Linked DNA regions of Diceros bicornis minor. The protein of the gene in region 1 interacts with the protein of each later gene in a biochemical or structural test. Links are inferred from orthologs where the notes say so. Each region holds a gene or a part of one and is shown on either strand. Other genes may lie near its edges.

Region 1 (7,629 bases):
CTGTTGGAGGAAAGGTTGCGGGCGTCTCCAAGGGGCTGGGCCGAGAACTCTCTCCCTCCCCATTGGAGCCGGCGGGGACCCCGTCGGGTTGTACCTGGAACCGCTCTGTCTGCACCAAGGCCGCAGCGCGCACGGACACGGGGTGCCGGGGGCCTGCCATCGCTGTGGCCTCTTGAGTCCCGGTCGCCAGCTTCTTGAGCCCGCTGCCTCCCTACCCTCTCAGAGGAGGGGGATCCCCCGCACCCGGAAGACTGGTTGGAATTCCCCAGCAACGCCCTAGACCTGCCAGGTCCTTGCAGTGCTGCCCTGCTCCTCGGTTCTTCGCAGCTTCCTCGCTGTGCCCAAAGCCAAAGATCTGGGTGGAGGGGCAGGAGCACAGGGCGCGGGGGGTGCCCAAGGCAGAGCTGGTGAGAGGGGGAGGGAAGAGGTGGTGGAGGTGCCAGGACTGCTGCCTGAGGCCCTCTTTCCCGTCCGCCAAGGAGGAGGAGGAGAAGGAAGAGCCATCAAAGGGCCCCCAGGCCTGGCCCACCCCTCCCGCCTGTCCACGCCCCATGCAGTGCTGGGGCTGCTGAGAGCCTGTGGGCAGGGGATGCCTCCGCTGGCTCTGTCTTTGAACCCACCTGGGGAGCTGACTGCAGTTGTCATCAGGAAACAATGGCCCAGTGCTAAGGGCTTTAAGTGCCTTATTTGGCTTAATCCTCACGTTGGAGGAAAGGTCTCTTAGTGTCCTCAAGTCAGAGAGGAGGAAATTTGTGTTAAATGGATAATTAATGTCAGTTTTTCTGTCTGTGTTGGGGAGGGTCGGACCTCACAGGCTCACCTCAGAGGTTCCCCTGTGGTGCAGACAAGGCAGGAGGAAGAGGGTCCATCTCTGCAGTCACCCACACTTGGGGGTTGGGGGAGGTGGTGACTAGGACTGTTGAGAGCTGCCTCTAATTCATGATTTATCACAATTACCTGCAAACACTGCCTCTGAGATCAGGAGTGACCATTCCCTCACTAACTGGGGTGGTGAGGGGAATATCCTGGAATCCCCAAAGAGGGCATGCCCAGGTGCCTCACCTCTCTGGACTGCTTCCTTATAGGGGTGATTTCCAGAGCCCCAGCCAACCCTGGCGCACAGTGGTTCTTCCTGCTGTTGGGGCCACCAGCTTTGTGTTGGGATTCCCCCTACTCCAAGTCCTCCAGGGAGGGGTCAGACTCTAGGGCATCCCTCCAGGAAACCACTCTGGCCTTGACAGAGGGCCTTTGTTTGTCTGTCTGACCAGTGACTCTCTCTGAACCTGTAAACCTTCCCTGGTCTTGGCCTAGGCAATGAACACCTGCTGACACAGGCCTGATTCGCAGAGTGCCTCTTGCCTGGCTGTCACACTCTCCTGAACTTCAGAGGAGCCACGCTGAGGGCCTGAGGGCTCTGCTGGCCTGGCAGGATCCAGGGTGGAACAGACTCTGCTCCCCTGGAAGACAGAGGAGAGAAGGTGGGGAAGAGCCAGTTTGCTCACAGCCAGGGACCTAGAAGGACTCTGAGGTCCCCTCCCTCCCTCAATGGGCAGACCCTGCTCCACACCCTCAGCAATCCTTGGTCCTTCCCACTCTTACCCTCTCCATATTCCCTACCCTCATCTCTCACCTGAACAACTACAACAGCCCCCTCCCCCAATGCCTGCGCTCCTCACTTGGTCCCATGAAATCCACTCTCCAGAGGAATCTGCAAAAGAGATTTTGCAGGTTGGTGTAGCCCTGCCCAAAACTGTCCAGCATCTTCCTACTGTCCTTAGAATAAATTCCTAGCTCCCATGGTAGCCTATGAGGTCCTTGGTGGGCCTCTGGCCACCTCTGGACCTCCCCTCCCACCACCCTCCTCAGGTCCTGCCCCACTGGCCTTTCTGCCCATGCAAGAGGCCAAGGCCCTCCCACCTCCAGCTTCAGCCTTGACTGCCCTCCTCAGTTGATTCCTCATTCTCAGGGAAGCCTCCCCAATTCACCATGCCCTATTCATGGCCCTCATCACAGTATGTAAGTGAACATTTACTATGGTGACTCCTATTTTTGTTTTTGTTTTTTCTGTCTTGACTGGACTATTGTAGAGAAGAGATTTCCTCTACCCTCTGGGTGCTTCTGGCTGGAGTATGAATTAAATTGACATGAGACAGAATAACAGGAGAAAATTAAACAAAGCTTTATAACACGTATACATGGTAGAGACCCAGGAAAAACTGGGTAACTCCACAAAATGGTGGAGGCTCTCATCTTAAATACCATCTTCAGCTAAAGACAAAGGAAGATGTTGGGGGCAGTGGTTTGGGACTTCAAAGGGGAGGAAAACAATTCACATGGAACTGGAAAAGCAAATGTTTGGTAAACAGAACTTTGATAAGAATGGATTTAGCAAGGACCCTCCCAGTCTACTGATATCTAGAGTTATCTATGGTGATGGCCTGTCCTGGGGACAGGCCTTCTATCTTAAATTTCTTTTAGACAGTTGGGGGCCGGGCTGGGGGGGTGGGGGTCAGTTATGGGAGATTACCAGAAAAGCACAGTAAACAAGAGTAAGGTTATTATGCAGATTTAAGTCCTTGCCTTCTGCATGAATGAGTTGCTAGAGATAAGGTCATCCCCTCTTCTTCCTGATACAAAGAGGGAGATACCTTTACAGATGGAGATTTCCCTTACAAATGTAAATGTCTCCTACAAAGGGTAAATTCTACTTTTCAGAGTTTCTCCCATGTCTGCAGTTTTTTAAAGTAATAATGCTCATCAGCCCAAAATAACCCTCACGCCAAAGAGACACATTTTGGGGTGGCCAACTCTAATCCCCCACACTATGAACTGAGCAGGTCAGGGACAGATCTTGTGCCCCGCCCTGCCCAGCGCCTGTAACAGTGCTTGGAACAGATTAGGCATTACACAAATATTTGCGGAATGAATGAATGTACATATGGAAGCAAAGGTATACCTGAGGACACTCCCGACGTGGGTGTAACCCCTTTATGCAGGTTAATGATCCGGGGCCGCTCGGTGCCCCCGGCAGCCGAGACACGCGCAGAGTTCTCAGCCGGCACCGCCCCTCCCAGCGTTGCCAGGCGCTCGTTGCCATGGCGCCGGTCGCCAGGGCAGATCCGTGGGACCCGGGTCCTAGAGCGCGGTCCTCTGTGCGCTCAGGGCCCTGCCCGCGTTGCCATGGCACCGCGCGGCCTGCCGCTGGGCGCGCCCCCAGCTGAGGGCACAAAGCCTGGCTGCGGGCACGCGGACGGGTCAGAGCGGAGTGATGGGGCCGTCGCGGGCTGCAACACGGACGGCGCCTGGGCCGCCGTCCGAGTCCTCGGCGCAGCCGCGGCGCGGCTTCCACCACACGCTGATCTTCTACTGGAGAAAGCGGGAGCGCCGCCACGGACGACGCAAGCCGGGCTCGGGCCGCGGAACGAGGCCCAGGGGCGCGGCCAAGAGCCGGGCCTCTGGCCCCGCCTCCGCCCCGGCCCGGGCCACCGGCCCCGCCTCCACCCTGGCCCGGGCTTGCGGTGCGTCCTTGGCCCGAACCCCGGCCTCCAGCTCCGCCTCCTCTCGGGCGCGGGCCGCAGCTCCCGGCCCCGCCTCCACGCCGGCCCCCGCCCCGGCTCCGGCTCCGGCTCCGGGCCCCGCCCCCGCGCCCAACTCGGCCCAAGCCCCCGCGCCTGCGCCCAGCTCCTGTGGCCGCGCCCTGGCGGCGGCGCGCGCGCTGGCCTGGAGGCCGACTTGGAGGCCCTTCTGGAGACCGAGCTGGCCCGGCAGGCATTGCGCGGGCAACATGGCGGCGCCCGGGGAGGGGAGGCGCTTCTACGGCGGGAACCTCTTCTCTTTCTTGCCTGGCGGCGCGCGCTCCGAGGTGATGGACGACCTAGTGACGGACGCGCGCGGCCGGGGCGCGGGGCGGAGAGATGCCGCCGCCTCAGCCCCGACGCCAGCCCAGGCGCCGACCGATTCTCAGGTCGCCGAGGACACCTCCCAGAGGCGGCCCTGCCGGGCTTGCGTAGACTTCAAGACCTGGATGCGGACGCAGCAGAAGGTTCAGATGCCCGGGGGTGCCACCTCCCGCAGAGGCCCGCGAGCTCTGCCGACCCCTAGCCCCGGCCCCCACACCTTGTTCTCAGGCGCCCTGGGCAGACCTCCCAAGGCCCAGGCCGAGCGGTCCCACAGGCCCCATGCCTGCAGACTTATGCTTACCAGGGTTGCCTGTCACTAAGTCCTAACCCCAAGGTGGGCCTGGCCTTTCAGCTTTCAGCCACACGTGGGCCAGATCGGCTGCAGGATTTCTGTCTCGAGTCAATAGGTTTCCGGCTAGGGTGGGAAAAAGAGGAGCTTTGTGGGCTTCTGGTCGGGGGAGACTGAACTGACCTTTGGTCGGTCTCCTTCCGCAGCAGGACAGCAAGTTTAGAGAAGATTGTCCTCAGGATCGTGAGGAACTGGGTCGCCATAGCTGGGCTGTCCTTCACACCCTGGCCGCCTACTACCCGGACCTGCCCACCCCAGAACAGCAGCAAGACATGGCCCAGTTCATACATTTATTTTCTAAATTTTACCCGTGTGAGGAGTGTGCAGAAGACATAAGGAAGAGGTAAGTTACGTCTGCATCATTTGCAGGCAGGAGAGCATGCCACCTGGAGCCTGGGTCCCCTGGCTGATGTCATAAAGGGGAACCTAGAGAAATAGGTGCAGAGGTGGCAGAGGGCTTCGGACAGCGGGGACCACCAACAGAGTGGGGATTGGATCATCTGAGCCATCTCCTTTCCCTGTAGAGGCCAAGCAGCCTGGGTCTACTGCCGGGTGCTTTTGCAGCCACAGGGCTCCCGGGGAGGGCTTCCCCCATGAGACCCCTTGCTTAGCACTGATGGAGGCTCCTGCAGGTTAAGGATGACTTCACTTTGCCTGACTTCTGGAGCAGGACTGCTGGTTTCAAGACCTTGAGAATCCACAGCTTTTGCTTCCAAGAGCCACCTTTTTCTCGCTGGGGAGCCTAAGAGCCGCTGTTTGGCACCCTTAGGTGTTTCTGGGCTGGATGTGTGGGGCAGGGCTGCCCTTGCCTTTTGAAGCCTGAGCAATTAGAATGAGGTCTCTTACTGAGCTGAGGTTCCAGAGCCCCAGGTGCTAAGAAACAGGTGTGGTTTTCAGTTATGCCTTTGTGCTGGCTCTACCCCTTCCATACACTGCCCAGGGCAAAGGACACTGGGGTGAGGCTTCCTAATGGTTCTGAGGTTGTAAAGTTGCCTGGTCTGTGCCTTAATGACTTGCCCTGGGCTCTTGTCAGGGTTGCCAAGCTCCCCAGGTGGGTGTCACAGGGTCCGCCCTGTTTGGGGAATTCCTGTCCCTCAGCACAAGGGCACTTCTGGGTGTAGCTCACTGCAGCGCTCCTGCTCGCCTCCCTGGGTGGAGCAGGCAAGGAGCTAGTGGGGCAGGGGCAGGGGGCCCGCTGCCTCCCCCATCCTCCATTGCTCCCCCCATGCAGGATACACAGGAACCAGCCAGATACACGCACGCGCGCATGCTTCACCCAGTGGCTGTGCCGCCTGCACAACGAGGTGAACCGCAAGCTAGGCAAGCCAGACTTCGACTGCTCGCAAGTAGATGAGCGCTGGCGTGATGGCTGGAAGGACGGCTCCTGCGACTAGACGGCAGCCAGCAGGAGTCCATGGGGCAGCCAGCCAGGGCCTGTGGGCAGCCCGGCTGGAGAGGGGAAAGGCACTCATTAAAGTGTGTCAGAGCCAGAGCCTGTCGTGTCTCAGTTAGGTGGTCCCCAGACACTGCCCACAGGGCCCTTTCCCTCCCACATTTGCAGTAGGAGTGGAAGTGTCTGCGCAGGTACCCTGATGGCCGCCGCCTCAGCTGAGGCCCAGTGGGGCTGCAGGTGAAGGAGGCAGGAGCAGCCCAGACTGTCCCTTCCATTCAGGATGTGGCCTCCTGCTCACTCCACACCCTGGCGCCCACTTTCCCACAGGACGGCGACAGGTCTGGCTGGGCTGCCCTGCCAGGCCTGGCCATTGTCTCCCCTCCCATGTAGCTGGGGACAGCTGCAGTGACTGTAGCCCCAGAGACTGTGCGAGCTCTGCACTTCAGGAAAGAGGGCTGGGGGAGAGCTCTCTACGCTGCTCAGTCTACAGGGAAAGCACAGGCAGGGCTCTTCTCCGAGGGTCCACCGACCCTGTTGCCTGCCTCCCATCTAGCACGTTGCCTTCGCTAGCTGCACCAGGCCTGTCAGAGGCTTCATGGGGCCAGCTTCCTTGAAGCTTGAGACCAAAATAAAGTGCTGGAGAAGTGACTGAGGACCTGGCTTCAGTGTGTTTTGTGCTGGGACTTGCAGCGATGGACAGGGTCTGCCCTCGTCCTCTGTGGTCAGCTGCTTCCTCCTGTCTGGGTTCTGGCTCCTTAGGAGGAAAGAGAGGTCCCACGGCAAGAGTGGACCAGGATATTCCAGGAACAGCAAGGAGGCCAAGTTGCTGGAGCCGAGGGAGGGTCAGAGAGGTGAGGGAGGTCAGATGGCACGAGGTCTTCAAGGCCCCAGCAAGGATGTGGTTTTAACATCCAGCTTCAGTCACAAGAAGGTCTTGGAGGACTTGGAGCCAAGGAAAGGTGAGATGTGACTTGAAAGTTCTCTCTGGCTGCTGAGCTGGGATGAGGCAGGCACCCCTGCGGCAGCTAAGAGGGAAGCTCGCCCTGTCGGATGGAGAAGACAGTGGATAGACTCTGAATGTAGAACCAAGAGAAAGGAGCCAAAGGTCACTTCAGGGTTCCAGCCTGAGAAGCTGGAAGGGTGGAGCTGTTCTGTGTAGCAGGGAGATGGAGAAGGCTGTAAGTGGAGCAGGTTTGGGGGTGACCTAGACCCTGCTTTGGGGCCTGCCCGGATCCACTCAGCCACACCTGCTCCCAGGCCTTGGCTCCCAGCTGGAGTGGCCCAGCAAGTGTGCCCCGTCCCTGTGGTCATAAAGCTCTGGTCACCTATATCCCCACGGCGCCTCCGCCTCTCCCTAGGCACAGGCCAGCCTTTGGCCTGGCCTCCTCAGCTCCTTCACCCAACTGGCCCCACAGGGGTGCTGGCTTCTGCAGGGGCTTCCCAGAGGGGCTGGGTGACACAAATAGGTGGGGAGCAGTCAGCACAGAAGTCACTCCTTCCTCTCCCAGATGGACTGTCCCCAGCACAGGGCTTCTCCCTGGCCTTCCCTGTGGTTCGCTCAGGAACATACTGCCCGTATTTGTCCTCCCTCCTGCCCCGCCTCATTTCCCTTTTCCCCCAACTCGGGCTTCCCCGAAGTTTCACCCCCAATAAAACTCTTAACTTTGCCACAGACTTTGCCAGGGCATCCACGCTAAGACAAGTGGGGCTCTAGTTCAAGGGAATGTTCTGGCTCGAGCTGTCAGCACGTAGACCAAGGGAGTGAGCATAGAGGGAGGAGAAGAGCCCCTAGACCACGCCCTGGGGCCACTACAGCTTCAAGGTCACAGGTGGAACAAGAGGAAGGAATCAGAACAGGGTGACAAGAAAGGGCCCATGAAGTAGGAGGAACTCGAGGAGAGGGTGACATCAGAAGCATTTCCAGAAAGGTGGGGAGGGCAGTGTCTGAACTGCCCCTGGACTAAGGGGAGCAGTGACTTGGGACAGCT
Region 2 (6,889 bases), on another chromosome or scaffold:
GCCCCGCCGGCGCTTGGGAGCTGGTCTGGGCCCCAGCCCTGCAGTGGGAGGCCGGGGTCTCCGAGGCAGATGAGAGGGGCTGAGCCGGGCACAGCCACCATGCAGACTGTCACGGTGACCACCTGGCTTCCAGGTGGCGTACACATTCGATGCGGGCCCCAACGCCGTGATCTTCACCCTGGACAACACCGTGGCCGAGTTTGTGGCTGCAGTAAGGCACAGCTTCCCCCCCAAGTCCAACGGAGACAAGTGAGTCCTGTGGGTCCCCCCATTTGGGAGGCCGTGGAGGGAGGAGCGGGGTCTTCTGCTGAGATTGGGGTGCTGAACAGGGAATCCCACAACAGGCGTTGATCCCCCGGGGACCACAGGCAGCGTGTCACCAAGTGTGCCTAGCTGTGATTGTGGATGCATCTCCATCATGTCCCAGCCCCGTGATCACATGCACACTCCCCAGTGCAGCATCACAACTCCTGTGTGGACGCGCCTGTGGCCCCGCTGTGACAATGGCATTTGGGTTCCCTCCACCCCGCTGTTCTCACGTTCTCTGTTCTCAGCTGGGGACACCTCCCTGCTGGGCCTGCTGGAAGTGTGTGGGCTCGTCTTGTCTGTCACCATCACTGAGGCAGCACTGACATCTGGGGGGCGGGGGCTGGAATTCTAGCCTCCCCCCTGTGGGACAGTCCCAGAGGCCAAGGGGCCTCTGATCTCACTGCCCTGTCCCCCGAGGGGTGGTTTGCAGATCCTCGCTGTCCTGAGGGACACGGGGACAGACCCACGCCTACACTGAAGCATTTCCCTAAGCAGAGCTGCCCCGCTGGGCATAGCAGTAGCCATGGGCTAGGAATGAAAGGACACCGAAACCCTGCAGAGGTTTTCTGAAACTGTCCCCTCACGTGACCCCAGCCAGGCCCTCGGTCATCCCTGCTTAGGTTTTTTTGTGGTAAAATACACATAACATACAATTACCATCTTGACCGCTTTGAAGCGTACAGACCAGTGGTGTTAAGTACAGTCAGTGTCATGCAACCAGCACTTCCCTCTAGTTCCAGAACTTTTCATCACCCCAAAAGAAACCCCATGCCCATTGGCAGTCACAACCCACCCCCAGCGCCCAGCAGCCACTTCTGTGCTTCCTGTGTGGACCTGCCTGTTCTGAGACCCCCCTGTCGATGGATCCCCGTACGACCTGCCTTCCTTTTCAGGTTTCTGAAAGGGCTGCCCGTGAGGCCTGCCCCGCTCTCAGACGAGCTTAAAGCTGCACTGGGCATGGACCCCACCCCGGGAGGCGTCAAATACATCATAGCCACTCAGGTGAGGCCTGGTACCTGGCCCTCGGCCCAGCACAGTGGGCAGGGGCGTCCACCCGGCGAAAGGCTCCCTTCACGCCCTGCCTCGGCAGGAAGCCGGCTTGCTAACAGCAGAGGAGCAGCAGTGACGGCCCCGTCAGTCCTCAGAGCATGTGGCCCATTGCGGTTTGTTTCATCCAGTCTCTCGCTCACCTTCAAAGTGGACATTGAAGGACACCCTGCGAGGGGCGGTGCTGAGGGTGGACAGCAGGACTGGGATGGTGGAGACTTGGGATAGGCAGGTGCTGGGGATCCTGGGGACCCTTGGGCCTCCCCCCCCACCCCCCCAGAGCGGTTCAGGATTCCTGCTCAGAGTGCTGAGCCAGGATTTCACTCGGATCCGCCCTATTCCAGGTTCCATGACCTTTGCACCCAGGCTGTGGTCTCACCTCCGCCCTGGGACTCACTGTCCACCCTGAGTCTGGGTGACGGGGGCCGACTGACCGGGCACTCGCAGTGGGGAGACCACGTGGCTCTGCGCGAAGGAGCTGGGACAAGGCCTGGGACAAGGCAGATGTTAGCTTCTGACCTCACTTACCTAGCAGGTGGGGGGTACATTCTGTCCCTCCCTGTCCCCCTGACCTGACATTGATTCCTGTACACCCCAGGTAGGGCCTGGGCCTCAAATCCTGGACGACCCTCACGCTCACCTCCTGGGTCCCGATGGCCTGCCGAAGCCAGCTGTTTGACTGCCTCCTCGACGGGAGCCCCGGCTGCTGCTTGGGAAGGGGACGCTTCGCTGGGACTGGGGAACCGGGTGTGGCAGCCGACCAGGCTGTGCTTGTTGGGACTTGTGGGTGGCCGCCTGGCTCCGAGCCGGGCAATGTGCTGTGGTTGAGTTGGGGCAGTGGACTGGCCACCTGCAGTTGTCCAGGTGGTGAGGAGCAGCCCTGCCCCCTGTGCCTCACCCTTCCCAGCCTTCACCCAGCCCTTTGCCAAGATGAGAGCTGGGAGGGGAGCTGGGAGCAGCTCAACACCTGAGGACCAAGCCAGCTGGGAGTGGAGCTGCCAGGGGAGCATCCTGGGGAAGGGGTCTCTGGCCCCGCGCTCTGGGCTGCTCCCACTGCCCCGGAACAGCAGCTCGATCATTGGCGATGACGGGGAGTCAGGCGTCCGTCCTCGGAGCCGGAGGACAGGTCACTGTGCAGGGAGCAGCCTCCACAGGCCTCCAGAAACCTCCACCAAGTGGTTCCAGCATGATGGCCGCCAGGGCTTCTCTGCCAGGCTGGGGGCCAGACCTTGAGCTTGGGCCACAAGGTGTGGATGGAACGTTTCTCTATAAGAAGGCCTGTAGTGTGCCTCGGGCGGGAGGTGGGAGAGCAGCACCAAGGTTCCAGCATCCTCTGGGAGCCCCTGTGGCCGGCCACTGGGAATAAAGCCAGCGTGGGTGACTTCCTGCTGGTGCTTCTGCTTGGTTCCTGCGCAGTGTTCCGGGGTCCCTGCTCTGAGGGCCTGTGCCGGGCAGTGGGCAGCACTCACCCAGAGGACCAGGGAGGGCCTGGGCAGCGCCTCCCCTCCTGCTGTCTTCTGCCCCTTGAGCTCCCCTTCAGTTACCCAGCCGTTCGCCCCGCCCACTTCCTAAAGATCTGCGCGGGCGGGCGGTGGAGGAGGAGCTAGGCACCTGCCCTCCCACCCGCCTCTCCCTACTCCCCTGAGGGTCGGATGCCCCAGGGCGGGTGAGGCTGCTGCCTGGAGCGGGTTCTGGTCTGTGACCCTGAATGAGGCAGGCGGAGGAGGGACATGCACTCCTGCATTGAGGATTTCCCCAGAAGCTTCTCACGTGCTGTCCCCTCCCTGTTAGTCCTGTGAGCAGAGGGCTGCCTGTAGTCTGCCAGAGGAGAAAGTGGGGACTGGACCTGCCACCGTCCTTAGTCGCTGATCTCCAGAGAGGGAGGGGCTGCCCAGGCTCAAGGGGCTCCTGTCTGAGGCCCTGCTCCTTGATGGGGAGACCACAGTGGACATGGTGAAGGCTCTGGACCTTTGTAAACCCTTTTGGGAACCCGACCTGCTCACACCTTTTCTGGGTGAAGCCCCATAGACACCTGCGGGACCCTTGGTCTGGAAGCTCCAGAGAGAGCTCAGCGTTGTGGGGGTGACTCTGCCTCCTGAGACAGGCTGCTCCCCTTGTGGCACAGCCCACCAGGAACCACCCTTGTCACAAGCCCCCGGAGATGCTTAGGAAGCCCCGATTAACGGCAGAGGGCAGAGCTGGCAGGGTAGGCGCCTGGCACAAAGTGAGCATCAAATGGTGGCCTCCCTGCGGGGCGCCCGAGGAGGTGCTGGAAGGAGGAAGTGAGCGGGCGGCCTGGGCCTCGGAGGCTGGACCCGGCACGCAGAGCCCGCCGAGGAAGCCGGCCCAGTGGGGCTGGGCCTCATCCTGAGCTCCCGGGCCGGGCTCTCGGGGAGCAAGTCTCCTGCGTCAGCACCCCGAGACGTCGGATCCCACCGGCCCAGCCAGTCTGTCTCCTGGGGGCTGGGGGCGGGGCGAACGGCCGGGGGCGGGGCGGGGCCGGAACTCGGGCCGGGACGCGGCGGAGGGGCGGAGGGGCGAGAGGCCAGGCGGGAGCGCGGCCGCGGAGTCCGAGCTGAGCCGCCGCCGCCATGGGGCAGATCGAGTGGGCCATGTGGGCCAACGAGCAGGCACTGGCGTCCGGCCTGAGTGAGTGCACCCGGGATCCCGCGCTTGGGGCGGGGGCTGAGCCTGGGCACCCGGGGGCCCGAGACCCCGGGCTGCGGCCCCGGCAGTGCAGGCTGGAGTCGTGGGCATCGGGAGTCAGCGGGTTGCGGGCTGGGAAGTGGGAGTCCAGGAGACTCCAGACTGCAGGCCGAGGAAAGGGGCGGGCTCGAGATGGGGTGCGGGGAGCTAGGCTCCTGAGAGGTCAGAGACCCCGGGCTGCGGGCGAGAAAGTGGGAGCTGAAGCCTGGGGTGGGGGCTTGAGATTCCAGCCAGGGACCTGCAGCTGTGGGGCGGGCCCGGGGCGGGGCGGGCTGGAGCCTGGCGGGGCAGTCAGAGACCTCAGACTGCAGAGGGGGTTCAGAGACCCTCCAGCCCCTGCAGACCCGTGCAGCACCCCACCCCACTCCCATTCCCCCCGTCCCATCCCCTGGCCCTTAGATGTCCCCTCTTCACTCCCCCACCCCCGCGCAGAAGTGGAAGAGGAAGTTTCAGCCCGGTGGTTTCCGGGGAGTCACCACCCCTCAGAGTTGGGAAAACCCCATGGGACAACCTGCCCCACGGCCCCTCCTGCACTGGAGTAGGGGCTTCAGCCAGGAGGTTGCCAGGGGCTCCACCTCCGGGGTCCTAGGTTGCACAGTGGGCTCCTCCTGCGCTCTGGCGAGGGACTCAGCTCCTGGGGTGGTGACCACTCTCCCTCTGGGGCCCAGCCCAAGTCTGCACGGAAGGACATCTAGGATTTCACAAGGCTCTTGGAAACCACCCAGAAGGAGCCCCTCCCAGCTCAATTCCAGGAGACTGCTTCTGGGGAAGGATGGCAGGGCCCCTCCACCCTGGCCGCCTTGTGTTCAGGAGCTCTGGTTAGGGAGCAGTGGGGTCTGCTCCCCAATTTGCAATTGGAAGCAGGAACCACTCAAGAGGGGGCAGGTTCTGAGGCAAGAGGAAGCTGCTCAGAGGCTCTGCCCCCCTTACCTCTGGGGACCTGCCCCTCGCAGGAAGGACCTATGCCCAGTGGGAGTGGCTGGGAAGAGTGTGAGAATGTGATGAGGAAGAGGGTCCCAGCCACCACCGTTTACCTGGGACCCACCTCAAGGCCCCCTTGCCACCTGGGCATGGATGAGCGGAGGTGAAGCTCTGGGAGGGAAAGGAGCAGAGGGAGATGAAGGCTCCCCAGCACGCCCACTGTCAGATCACATTTTGGGATGGGCAGCTTTGGAGCACGGGGCCCAGTGGTCTGTTCTGTGTGTCCAGGCAGGTCACCCCTGTTTCTGCTTCTAGAGTGGCTGAGAAATCAGTGGGTCAGGTAGTTCCCATTGCTTCTCCCCAGAGCTGTCCCAGGCTGTCCCTCTGCTTGTTGAGGGCTGTGAGGTCTTAGACTGCTGCAGACCAGCCTCCCTTCCTCCCACAGCTCCCCACCCCCCAGGAAGTAGAGAGCAACGGAGGGCAGCTCCCTGAGAGCTGGGCGGCCTGCGTTCTATCGCCCGCGGGCGCAGATAGTGACTGTCCCGTGGCCCCATCCATTGCACGCCCCACATGTGCAGGCTTTCTCTGCCCTGCCTTAGCTAATGTCTGAGCTCCTGTCCACTTTACAGACAGTGAGGTCAAGACCTAGGGAAGTTACCAGCTATGGCTTAGTTTCCTCCACCATCAGATGGGGCGATGTGTCGGGCGGTCTCCTGGATCCTTCCTGCTCTGAATTCCTCCTTGTGCTGACTTCTCTTCCTGACTCAGGATCAACTGCAGCCACCTGGCCTGCTCAGGACTGGCCAGGCCCTCCCAACAGTCTCCTCGAACAGGCTTCTTTTTTATGGTAGAAAATCCCATCTAATCAGATCATGTCACCTCCTGCCAAAAACCCTCCAGCTGCTTCCCATTGCGAAGAATAAAAGCCCAATTCTGACCGCTCTGCCCCTGCTCCCTCTCAGTGCCCTCCCTTCCCCTCCTGTGTGTCCTTGGGTCTCCCTAGCACACTGCAGGGCCTCTGCAGGAATGGCCTCTGGAGCGTCCGTGGCTGGCTCCTCCATTTCTTGGGTCAGATGAAGACTTGGCTCGGAGAAATTGTTCCAGAGCACCCAGCCTGTGGTAGCCCCAGACATTTCTGTCACATCCCTTGTTCCAGGTCACCACTACCTGATATTTATTTCTGTCCCCGCATGAGACTGTAAGCCCCGTGAGAGCTGAGGCGTGTCTGTCTTGTCCCTGCAGCATCCCAGCACTCCCAGGGACCCCTGCACGCAGTAGGTAGCGTCCTCATGCCTCCCTGGTGAGCCAGTGGTGTCTCAGCCCCCTCTTGCTCACGGGAGGCAGCGAGCCTGAAGCTCAGGACGGGGAGGTTACACCCCGGGACGAGTGGACCGTGTGCTGCCTGAACACATGAGGAGGCCGCCCTCATCTCTTGCAGCTCACAGAAGTGCTGACCAGCAAACCCAGAGTTAACACGCTGCTGAGCTCAACCCCAAGAATGGGAAACCTGCTGGCAGCAGACGCAGACTGCGGGTCAAGGTGCTGCGCTGGGGCGGAAGGAAGGGGCCTGGGGAAGTGGACCCCCGGGCTCAGGCTTTCCTGTGTGGGAAAGGGCTGTGTGAGCTGCGTGCTGAAGCCAGAGCCAGGAGGGGCTGCCTGTGTAAGAAAGAGCTAGAAAGCCACCCCTCCAAGGAAGCTTGCTATCTGCTGCCGGGGCCTGGAAGAAGAAGGTCACAAACAAGACAAAACCCGAGAAACTGCTGTGCACGGGGTGAGGCTGACTGTTCTCTACCCTGGGACCAAGAAATCCAAATCCACTGGGTTCAGGACTGGAGAAGCCCATAGGCCCCCAGCAGAGGCAAAGGTGAAGTCGTCTATTGGGGCATTTCCTCAACCAGGGCACACG

Evidence for each region. The genes of interacting proteins can lie anywhere in the genome.
Region 2: the proteins of NOXO1 (region 1) and cytochrome b-245 light chain form a complex in vitro, tested with the Homo sapiens proteins (3 studies listed by IntAct). The link is inferred for Diceros bicornis minor from reciprocal best matches to the Homo sapiens genes NOXO1 and CYBA.

What each region holds. Positions count from the first base shown.
Region 1 is NC_080765.1:46,422,611-46,430,239, reverse strand, and holds the start of NOXO1 (NADPH oxidase organizer 1), read right to left. Parts: upstream 3,019-7,629; 5' UTR 2,957-3,018; intron 1,709-2,956; 5' UTR 1,631-1,708; intron 1,458-1,630; 5' UTR 161-1,457; coding exon 95-160; intron 1-94. Other genes in the region: GFER (FAD-linked sulfhydryl oxidase ALR), read left to right, coding at 3,785-4,042, 4,395-4,591, 5,480-5,642. UniProt on the Homo sapiens protein: Constitutively potentiates the superoxide-generating activity of NOX1 and NOX3 and is required for the biogenesis of otoconia/otolith, which are crystalline structures of the inner ear involved in the perception of gravity.
Region 2 is NC_080771.1:37,109,527-37,116,415, reverse strand, and holds the start of cytochrome b-245 light chain, read left to right. Parts: upstream 1-3,875; 5' UTR 3,876-3,947; coding exon 3,948-4,005; intron 4,006-6,889. Other genes in the region: MVD (diphosphomevalonate decarboxylase), read left to right, coding at 134-249, 1,203-1,311, 1,955-2,035. UniProt on the Homo sapiens protein: Subunit of NADPH oxidase complexes that is required for the NADPH oxidase activity that generates, in various cell types, superoxide from molecular oxygen utilizing NADPH as an electron donor.